Bombyx mori: one gene and its partners. The protein of the gene in region 1 purifies or fractionates together with the protein of each later gene. This does not show direct contact. Links are inferred from orthologs where the notes say so. Each region holds a gene or a part of one and is shown on either strand. Other genes may lie near its edges.

What was found. Proteins that work in one complex are often made in the same cells at the same time.
Region 2: the proteins of peptidyl-prolyl cis-trans isomerase (region 1) and ATP-dependent RNA helicase DHX8 purify together in Homo sapiens (affinity purification with mass spectrometry; 3 studies listed by BioGRID and IntAct, counting the BioPlex papers as one, with this or other methods). This does not show direct contact. The link is inferred for Bombyx mori from reciprocal best matches to the Homo sapiens genes PPIE and DHX8.
Region 3: the proteins of peptidyl-prolyl cis-trans isomerase (region 1) and RNA helicase aquarius purify together in Homo sapiens (affinity purification with mass spectrometry; 5 studies listed by BioGRID and IntAct, counting the BioPlex papers as one, with this or other methods). This does not show direct contact. The link is inferred for Bombyx mori from reciprocal best matches to the Homo sapiens genes PPIE and AQR.

What each region holds. Positions count from the first base shown.
Region 1 is NC_085121.1:14,019,306-14,023,727, reverse strand, and holds the start of peptidyl-prolyl cis-trans isomerase, read right to left. Parts: upstream 2,831-4,422; 5' UTR 2,676-2,830; coding exon 2,466-2,675; intron 1,011-2,465; coding exon 825-1,010; intron 1-824. UniProt on the Homo sapiens protein: Involved in pre-mRNA splicing as component of the spliceosome. Combines RNA-binding and PPIase activities.
Region 2 is NC_085116.1:15,840,471-15,844,127, forward strand, and holds part of ATP-dependent RNA helicase DHX8, read right to left. Parts: intron 2,877-3,657; coding exon 2,736-2,876; intron 1,961-2,735; coding exon 1,808-1,960; intron 797-1,807; coding exon 471-796; intron 1-470.
Region 3 is NC_085131.1:6,768,147-6,771,803, forward strand, and holds part of RNA helicase aquarius, read right to left. Parts: intron 410-3,657; coding exon 239-409; intron 1-238.

The sequences.
Region 1 (4,422 bases):
GCGCGGTATGGACATGTGATGCGTAGAGAATTGAGGCATGTGACTAGGAGATCTATGGAAATAGTATGAAAAAGGTAGAGGAGGAAGAGGTCGACCGAAGAAGACATGGTTGGAATGTGTGAACGACGATATGATATGAGAGAGACGAGTGAGTGTTGAGATGATGGCTAATAGAAGAGAATGGAAGAGAAAAATTAGCTGTGCCGACCCCACCTAGTTTTTTTTTTATTTCTTAGATATGTGGACGAGCTCAAGCCCACCTGGGTAAAGTGTGTAGTGGGATAAGGTGGAGAAAAAGATGAAGAAGAGAAGAATTTCAATGTAAATTTACACACTTTGTTTTAGTATATTCATAACATCACTTGAAAACAATTTAATGTATGTGCTAACTCAATAAACTCTTGACTGGAAAACTGGACACAATACGAAGACATGGAGAGTATCATAGAACAAAAAATTACCATCATAATTTCACTTCCTTTGAGGTGAAGTTAGAAAAGTCGATATTTAAATAAAATTCAGACTTGTAATTAACGTCTGAAGGTAGCATTCGCTCTGTAACTGACATAATACCAAATTACAAGCCAAACGTTTGACAGAGTTTATGTTATCTCAAGAATATGACTAATGCTAGTGACAAAGTTATCAAACCCCTTACCCAGAGTCTTTATACATTTACTTTAAACGCTTTAGTCCTTATATTATGCATCCTTAAAATCAATCATCTTTATCAATGTTTTGGATAATATTTATTATCCTTTCACATGTTATGTCCGAATCATAACCATCTTATTTCTTAATTTGATGTACTTTAGATTACTTACACTAGTAGTTTCGGTTTTGTCTTTCGTTTCAGTTTCTTCACCATCTTTGTTCAGTTGAAGAGTTTCCCCAGCATGTTTCTGCAGCCATGAGTCATCCGACCAGACAGGTCGTGTGGAGCCTTCTTTAATGCGTTGCGGAGCTGCTATGTTCACTCGTATTGTTCTACCAAATAGTTCTGAATCATTCTAGAAATAAATAGTTAGATTACAAGTTAAAATGAGAAAATATTACTAAGCATGTTTAAATTTTTTTAATTATGCATTCCACAATATGTCTATATTTCTAGGGTCATCTATGTCTCTATGGATGTCATTTTCTAGTAGATTAATAATTTCAAACCTATTTTATAAAAGCTTATTTACTGTGTATATAACTTTTTTCTATTACAATATCCTACACTTTAGTTATGAATGGCAGTTTGATAATGTATTAAGCTAATATTATATTAAACATTTTAGTGTTAGTCAATTAAATAAATTATTAAAATAATCAAAATCTCCTTTAATCCGGAATTTAAAAAAAAAAACCTTTGAAACATGACGTGTATAAATATATGTGAAACAATATTTTATTTACTGTAATAATATGTATTACAAATATAATTATAATATCAGTAAAAAGTATTTTCCAATGATGAGGTTTAAATTACACACAAATAATTTTAATTCTCCCTTCAATACCTTATATTGAGGGGTGAAAGGCTATTTGTTTTAAGTGACATATTTTTTTATTGCCGTATAGGCAGACAAGCATACAGCCCACTTGATGGTGAGTGGTTACCGTCGCTCATGGACGTCAGCAATGCCAGGGGAAGAGCCAAGCCGCTGCCTACAAACATTCGGACATATTGACATTTTTGGAACTTAAAGGCCATTTAAAGTTTAAAATTTGGAAAAAATACCATAACAAATAAACTTCTTTAGCTTTTTTAATGGAATAAACTCAATTAAAGAGCAATTAAAACCATCAAACTGTTCTTGCTAATACCAAATAAAACACACCTTTAATTATGAAGATGAAGTTGTGTATTAAGGAAAATGTTGCTTATACCAAATAGCATTTCACTCTTCAATATAGATTCCTTTAGCTATGGTAGGTTTTGCTTGTGATAAGTATGTACAAACTCATGTCACCAGGTTTATGTAATTACAAGACAACAGCCATCAGAATGTGAATGCTGCCACCCACCTTGAGACATAAGGTTGTAGTTTCAATTGTGGTTATTCCACTGGTGATGGCTACTGTGCCAATCAGAAATCATAAATAAACATGTTGGTGGCACCTACCCCTTGGGCTTACAATATACCCTACCATCTGTAATAAAAACTCGGGGACTTCCGAGTTATAACAACAATAATAACACTTCTTCACCTCTTACTATATTCACAATGGACATTTAAGACCGAAAAAATGTAAGAATTTAAAATGTCAGATATTATTGTATAAGTAATAAATATAGACTTATATATCTTATTTGTCCAAAAATAATTCCTGAATGTAATTTCACATTCTTTAACGATAAACAAAGATGTGTACCCTTCGTTTGTACCAAAATGAGTATTTTGTATCATACCTATGGACTAGAACTGAAAGAATCCATGTCCAGCATCTGCCATGTATTTCACTGTAAAAGTACTGACCATGTTATCAATCGCTGCGGCAGCATCCTCAGCGTTTTCGAACTCTATGAAAGCGAAGCCCCGATGCTTCTCAGTCTCATAATCCAAAGGTATTTGAACATCAACCAAATCCCCGAAAGGGATGAAAGCAGCGTTTAAAACTTTCTCGTCGACCTCCTCAGCTAGCCCTCCAACGTATATTGTCCGCTTAGAATTAGGCTTACTCGACATTTTCACGTGTGTTTATATTAAATTATTCGAAATTTAAATGAAATTTAGGTACATAGCTAACTATTTGTGTGATAGCGCCGATAGCGGTTTGTTTATATCAAACATAACCTCAAAGAGAATGACAATTCAAAAAGTCAAATGTCATTTTGTCAAAGGAATTCATAGACCTATAGGTTTCCTACTTCATTGAAGGAATTAAAATAAACAACATAAGTAATCACTTAATATCTTTGGATTCAATGATTTTCAAATAAACAGTTGATTTTTACGTAATTTAAGGTAAGCTCAGAGTAGCAAATTACACAAACGATAAATATCTCATTCTCAGTTTCAAGTATGATAAAATATTTTCCTATTCGATAGTGAGATATGTAACAAAATAGTTTTCTAGTTGTTTTTTGATTTAATCTAACTAGTCACGAATTAATTTATTGGGAATATCGGCATTTCTCCTTTTTAAACAGGAATTTAAGATTGCTCTATAGCAAAAATAGATAGAAGAGTTCGCCATTGGCGCCGTCTTGCAATCTTTGTATCTGCCACCAGTATATACCAAACAAAAGCAGATAAGAAATTAAACGTGAGGTAGAAACGAAATCCGTTCTTAAAGACGGATGAATAATAAAAAAGTAAAATGGAAGGGAGCTGAAGGGGGCTGGTATACTTACTGGTTAATATAATTTCAACTAGGTATACAGTATAATTACAACTAAATAATCATTACATTACCTTACCAAAAGCCCTGTAATATTTTATAGCAAAAGGAAAAGCAGTGGAAACCGTTAAGGTTATCATTAGGAAAGAGTTATACTATGCGATTCTGACCTACTCAAACTCAAAATTAAATATCTCTTCGGCAGCTCGTTTCTTTTTTAAATACTGTGTTGGATAACAAAGGAACCAAACACCGGAGTGTAATGAAAAAAATGTATTTTGTATTAGTAATACATGTGAATGAAATTGAACGAAATATATGTAATGAAACGATAAGATGGACCGCAAAGTTTTTCAAAAAACTGTCAAATCTGACGGTTTTGACAGATATAGTCTAGTCCTTTAAGGTACTCAAAATAATCTACAGTTAATAAGTATTACACTTCTTATGAAAACAATCTACGAAGGTAATGGACGAATTCTTAAATGCCTCTAGAATTTTCATCTCTTCTTCAAACCTTATCCACCTAATGCTGAGTATAGGTCTCTTCAAATACACTCCATTATTCTAGGTCTCTTGCCTATCGCATCCAGTCCAGACTAATAATAATCCAGAATGTCCATCAAGAACGACCAGCTATTGAAGGGGTGGTGGCCTGCGGATTATGACGCCCGGTGCATTCGGATCGAGCGCTGCGTCCAAGCCAGTAAAACTGTAAGAGCCTATAATAAAAATCAAACCTGCGAAAATTATATAATGCGTAATTACTAATGGTAGGGTGACTTATACGCCCACAAGAGTAGGTAGCAACACTCTGATTTTTACTGCCGTGAAGCAGTAATGTGTTGGTTTTAAGGAACAGCCGTTGTACTGTAAAAATTTAGACCTAGAACTTATGTCTCAAAGTGGATGGCGGCTTTTACGTTGTTGTTGTCTATGGGCTCCGGTAGCACATAACGACAATTGGGCCGTGAGCTCGTCCGTCCATCTTCAGGCTGCCTGAAGTTCAAATCAGTTCAGTTTAGATATGGCACGACTGCCATTCTCGTGTCGTGCCATAAGAGCAAATAAAGTGAAGCCTTCAGACGGATC
Region 2 (3,657 bases), on another chromosome or scaffold:
CGCAGAGGGATGATGCGGTGCGCCACCTGTCGTCCACAGACAAAACTATTTTCACGACGCGTCGTCTTTTGTTGTGGAACTTGTGATTGGCACCTCAGGAAGTATTTATGTGTTGAAGTACCGCCAGCGCACCATAGGTGGAGCGCGAACTAATCGTTCATATAGTCTGCTTGTTAAAAACAATTGGTATTTGTATTTATTGCTGCCTTGTGTTTTCGGTATTCACAAGCGAAAATTGTGTTGAGTCCGTATTTCGGAGGCAGCGGCTTGGCTCTGCCCTGGCATTGCTGAAGTCCATGGGCGACAGTAACCACTCACCATCAGGTGAGCCGTGTGCTCTTCTGACTACAAGAGCAATAAAAAAAAAACAAAATGACTTAGAGTATGTAGTTTGTGTCACAAGACCTTTACTAAAATGCATCGGTACTCGTTCGCAGAAACCCAAAATTTAGACCAAAGCTGAAGGCTACCTGTCCATGATCCCGAGGAGCTGCTTCCTCACGTCCTGGGCCCGCTTCAACGTCCTGATCTGCACGAAGTTTTCGTAGCACCACGCGTTCGAGAACTTGTTATTCCTCCAGCTGTTGTACACGGCCAGTAGCGTCAGGTGGTCCCCTTCCGGCTGGTTGAACTTGGCCTTCTTCTGGTCGGCAAGCGCCTGCTTGTCCTTCGGCCGATAGAAAACGTTTTGGACGCTCAGCATCGACACTATTGTGAGTATTTCATCCGAGCACTGCAGGGCCACCGACATGATTAGGATCTTCGATAGGTTTGGCTCTAGTGGAAATTCGGCCATCTGAAAATAATAATTGGGTTCATTAAACTTGAATTGAGGGTCTGCCTATTTTTTGAGATGAATTGACGATATTCACATTTTGCTATCTGTGAGTTCATGTAGATCTGTGAGTTCCTGAAGGGGAGTAAGGGGAGATCGGAATGCTACCTTCACCGGCCCTATTGTCAACCCCACCTGCACGCGCCGGATGGCGGCGGCAACCAACAGGTTGCCGTGGTGCTCCCTGCTAGAAAACTAATAGGGCAATGGCGACCGAGCAATGGCGGTATAACCGTACACACTCATCAGGACAACCTATACGGAAGAGGCATCAGAAACCTTGGGGATCAAATACCCCCTAAAATGCTGGTGCAGAAGGCAACGGGAAACCACTGCACTAATTTCCCACGAGAGTCATGAGCAGGTCGTATCGTTAGCAAATAACGTTAGCTTGTTATAGGTTTTGCTTACCAGCCTTTTGCAATGTTAAGTTATTTAAAAAAAATTTTTAAGGGATTTTATGATCTGGTAACTAAGACCTTTAAGTCATGTCTTATTTTAATTTATATTCATATTTTTATGAAATATGATAATATGGAGTGAAATGAAATGAAGGTGATTAGTTTGAGACATTAATCAACTGGGATGAAATTAAATGAGATGAGATGATTTGGGATGAAATATAATCTTAGTAAGGTGGTGGTCATTTACTGAGATTTTTTTCAGTGGACTTTTTGGAGGATCCCGAGAAGTTACGTCCAGCGGCTTTTGTTTAATTTTCCCACATTTGTACACTTTCACAGATATTAACCATTAATAAACCACTGTTACAACAAATTTAAACCTGAAGAAACACTAAATAGACAAAATAAAGCAAATCACACAACTTCACTCCTCGCGTTCCCGCCAAAAAGTTCCTATTTCATTTTTTTTTTATGACCTGGTGACAGAGACCTTTAGGTCAAACTTCATTTATTGTTCAATGCAGGTACAGATTATAAGCTAATATCATGACATGACATCTCAACGTACTCTGCGTCCCAGCCTCGTCAGGAGTCCCTCAGAGTCGAGCGCCGACAGCGAGTGCAGCTGCTCCAGCGCCATGATGAGCGACTCGACCGGCGGCGCGTCCATGAAGTCGAAATGCAGCAAATCGTTTATACCCATTGTTTTCAATTGTAATACCTGAAATTTACTATGACTTGTAAAGGACAATGCCCAAAAGTGGGCCAACTTTGTGCCAAAAAAAAAACATTTCTCTTAAACCTGGGTGAGAATATAAAAATGATTTTCTGAATATGAAACGATATTTCTTTGTCTATCAAATGAAATTAAAACCATCATGACCAGACAACTTTTTTTTAGGGGCCCAAACGCCCAAAGAAAATGGGCATTGTCCTTTATTAGGTGGTAGGACCTTTTGAGTCCGTGCGGGTAGGTACCACCACCCTGCCTATTTTCTGCCGTGAAGCAGTGTGAATGCGTTTCGATTTGGAGGGTGGGGCAGCCGTTGTAAGTATACTTGAGACCTTAGATCTTATATCTGAAGGTGGGTGGCGTATTTACGTCGTAGATGTCTATGGGCTTCAGTAACCACTTAACACCAGGTGGGCTGTGGGCTCGTTCACCCATTTAAGCTATAAAAAAAGATCCCCCCCCCAGTATTTTTTTATTGCCTTTGTAGGCAGAGGAGCATACGGCTCACCTGATGGTGAGTGGTTACCGTTGCCCGTGGACCTCAGCAATGCCAGGGGCAGAGCCAGGCCGCTGCCTATACCTTAATACTCTCCACAAGCCTCTTTTAAAGAAGGATATGTCATAGCGCTCGGGAAACACCGTGGAGGGGAGCTCATTCCATATCCGGATGGTACGTGGCGCTGTCGATGAACGCAGCGGTTCCAGATAATATGGATGAGCTCTGGTCCGCTGGCGGGAGGTGCGAGCATGGCGCGGCACTCACGGTGGTGGCGAGGTTGGTCCGCTGTATCTCGGGCACGGGCGTGGGCAGCATCTCGTCCCGGTAGGCTCGCTCCGTGTACAGCCGGTAGCACTTGCCCGGCCCGGTGCGGCCCGCCCGCCCGGCGCGCTGCTTCGCCGCCGCCTGCACAATGTTGTTCACACTTACTCTAAACGTTACCACCTACTCAATCTCACTTAGCTTTTTTAAGGGATTTTATGACCTGGTAACTAAAACCTTTAGGTCAAGTCTTATTAATACGCTTTTATTAGCTTCAGACGTACGTATGTTACTATATAACGGAATTTTTGAACACGATTTTAACCTCCTTCAGAACGTCGGATTAACTATTAATGACCGATGACAATTCAATATTTTATAGTAGTAGTATTCTGTACAATATTCTGTATATCTGAGCCTCCGGACGTGGCCGTGCCTGTTCAAGCGACGTTCAGCAATGCTGATGCTATTGTGACGTAGTAAGTAAGCACTTATATACACATATATCGTTTTATTAGGAGAGCAGTAATAAATCATACTCAGAAGTGATCAGTCGTTAAAATACCCTAGTCCCATCCTTACACTATTGAGCTTCAACCAGATGTCGACGGATCAGCAAGTTCACCAACAGACAACATATATTGTATAGAAGTTAAACATATCTATACTAATATATAAATCTACAGTGGTTTTTACGGATGTTCCGTTATAACTACTGAACCATGCATCAGATTGACTTGAAACTTGGTATCCATGTAGAAAATACATGTACTTAACGGGTAGGCTAGTATTTATATGAGTGTTGGACTCCCTACACTAGTTGCGGGGGCGTTAATCATGAGAATCTTTGTGGGGGTGAGAAATAATAATGTTAATTTTAAATGCCCAGGGAAGTGGACGGGTACAGCTAGTCACTTTATCATTT
Region 3 (3,657 bases), on another chromosome or scaffold:
GATAGGCAAATATGAAAATTTTAAACAAAAAAACCCGTCTTCGACAAAATCAAATGAGAATATGATTAATAGTCATGACACATGAGAAGCATCAAATAAAAATAAAAAAATAGAAATCGCTTGACTTGGACAAATGAAAAACACACACACAAAAAATACATTCGAATTGATAACCTCCTCTTTTTTTAAAGTTTATTAATAAGTAAACAACAACATAGAAACAGATCATAAGACTCACCTTGTGAGGTCGACCGATGAGTGGATTATCGGCACATCGCTTATCTATGACGTCCCTGATGAGATGTTTCTGCCCGTTATATGTGGTCAGTATGGAGATGCGCTCTGCAGGCCATCCGATCAGGCGCATGTACATGAAAACCGCTACAACGTATTCTGCTTCCGCTAAATTCTGCAAACGTGAAGGGCTTCGTTATCCGGATTGCACGGAGGTATCAACGAAGGTAAGATCCACAAGAGAACGAGTAAGATTCTTTTTTTTGGCTACCTATTCTGGTAATTTCGAGGCGTTATATTAGATTCATCGAGCAAGTAGGGGACTTTTTGGCGGGAACGTGAGGAGTGAAGTTGTGTGATTTGTTTTATTTTGTCTATTTAGTGTTTCTTCAGGTTTAAATGTGTAATAACGGTGGTTTATTGACTGTTTAATATCTGTAAAAGTGCATAAATGTGGGAAACTGAAACAAAGCCGCTGGACATAGCTTCTCGGGATCCTCCAAAAAGCTCACTGAAAAAGTCTCAGTAAATAACCTGAAATTTACTGAGATTATATTTCGGGAATTTAGTTACCGGCGGCCACGATGAGAGAGGGTTCTCGTGTCGTGCCGCTATATCGAAATGTCATACTACCGGTATAAACAGCAGCGCCTCAAAATGGGCTATATACCCTTTCACTCAAATACCTTTTCCCTAGCTTCGACTCTTAGCATACCGTATTTCTCTGCCTAACATTCTTACGTACCAGTTCCAACAATAGTAGAACAGTCGTATTGACACTTTTTCGATGATATTATAAAGACTGCTGATATAACAAGAACAAGTTGGATGCATTTGGCCAAGGACAGGGAATGGTTAAAAAGCATGGAGGAGGCTTTTACCCAAGAAGGGGCAACATAACAAAGAAGAAATAAGTAGTTTATAATCTCATATACCTATATAGTTGCATTAAGTGGAAATAAAGCTATAATAATAATTGACACTTCCGTCAAATATCGCAGCAGTATGATGTTCACGGACTCAGGTAATCAAATGACATCAAGAGAGTCGTGATCTCATCTGTTCGTCGATTTAAAAATATGTGCATTTTTTAAACGCCACAGACAATGATTGCATCGCGCACAAATAAACAACAAATAAAACAGAATGTACATTAAATTATTCCCTATTTGAAATAGCTTCGCGACAGAATTACGAATAATTTACGAATAGTAATTACGCGAATCTATTAAATGGTTTTGTTAAGTCTTTAATTCGCGACCACCTGCGTGTTCGTTTGAGACAGGCGCCTTTATAAGAATTAAATTAACACGCGACCTTGGATATACAAATGAGCTTTAAACTTTCAATTTCGTTCATATAAAAACGGGTTTCATGGTAGTATGGTGTGGCGTGAGTATTCTGTGGCTATTTTTATTGTGTACAAAACAACGGAGGCAGCGTTATATTCGGAATAAATAACACGAATTTATTTGAAACGGGAGTTCTTATTAAAGACGCTATTATTTACCGGGTTCTTACCACGACATTTTTTTTAAATTGCTTATATGTTTGAACGAGCTCACGGCCCCCCTGATGTTAAATGGTCACCGGGTCCCAGAGACATCGACATCGTAAAACTCACATTGAGACATGAGTTCTAAGGTCTCCGTTTTTTACAGTACAACGGCTGCCTCATTTTTCAAACCGCAACGCGTTACTGCTTCAGGGTAGATATGGGCAGGGTGGTGGTACCTACCCGTGCGGGCTCACAAGACTCCCTACCACCAAACCGGCTTTCGCATTTTACGATTAATTTTTTTAACTGATAGAACACGTTTCTATAAGCCGTTCGAAGTATTTAATTCATTTTCTTAAAAAAATTTAGTTGACTTCCACTTTAGTTTTTAGCCACTGCAATTCTAAAGGTGCGATATTACAAACTAGTTCAGTTGATCGAATGGTAATTGCGTAATGTTTGAATAACCGCAATATGTAGACAAGCAGATAAAAATAATTTGGTGTCAATTATCGTCGTCCTTTTCTCGCGTCATTCATACAGTATAAATAAAAAAAAATATGAAACTGTAACTATGTAATGTAAAAGTTTCCATTTCAACAAAATTTAACTGACATAGCACAGTTATTCGCTTTTTACTTAGTTTTCTTTAAAAACACAGTTAGCTTATTGTTTTTTTTTACTGTTAACTTATGCTACGCCAAACAAAACGTTAGTATGTCATCTGTCTCAACAGTTTCCTATTCAATTTGAAAGTCTATTCTATATTTAGAGGTTACACAAATTCGTAAATGTTTAGAAGAATTATTTTCAGCCAGACTCGGCCGCGAGTAGGAAGAGTTTAAAGCAATCAATGTTGTTCTGCGTTCAATGTCAAGGAGGTATGCGTTCATTGACCCGTTTGTACAGTACACATACATTTATCATTGCGTTCTAACAAATTGATTCTAGGAAACGTTTTTATTTCTGCTAGAGCGTCTTGTGAGCCCGCACGCGTAGATACGACCAGAATGCCTAGATCTGCCGCATTGCGTTGTAACAAATTGATTCTAGGAAAACGTTTTTATTTCTGCTCGAGAGTCTTATGAGCCCACATGGGTAGATACGACCAGAATACCTAGATCTGCCGCGTAGCAGTAATGCGTTTTGAAGGGTCGGACAGCTGTTTTATTACAGAACTGAGACTTAGAACTAAAGGTTGAAGGTCGCTGGCGGAATTCGCGTTGTCGATATTCGTGTGCTCCGGTAACCAATCTATATTAATATTATAAAGCTGAAGAGTTTGTTTGTTTGAACGCGCTAATCTCAGGAACTATACTGGTCCGATTTGAAAAATTATTACAGTGTTAGATAGCCCATTTATCGTGGAAGGCTATAGGCTATATAACATCACACTAAGACCAATGCAGGCGGAGCACCAATAAAGAATGTTTCAAAATCGGGGCTTTTTCCCTTTTGAGGGCTTTCACTGCGTGCGCTGCTGAAACGCTTAAAGTTTCGCTAAAGTAATGTATGACAGAAATGTTCCCCTTTAAAAGATCTAAAAAAAAGTCCACGACAGCATATGTCTATATGTTAAGATTGGCTCACTATAACGTTTTGATGCTAACCAAATTTGTTCTAAAATAAAGCATTATTTGGAACTATTCCACGCGGACAAAGTCGCGGGCAAAAGCTAGTAAATCAATACAATAATAACAATAAAAAAGTCGATTGTATAACACGCATAATTTCTGATATTACGGCAATGTTTTTATATCATCAATTAAAAACTGCCAAAAAAAAGAGCGTTATCTATTTAGAATTAAACTTTTAACCCATAGAGCGGGAACAGTCGATAGATAGACTCTCTATTAAGGCGTAAAAACTGCGGAGCGCCGGAATACCGTCTATTGCGCAGTTTGATTATCTATATATTAATACGT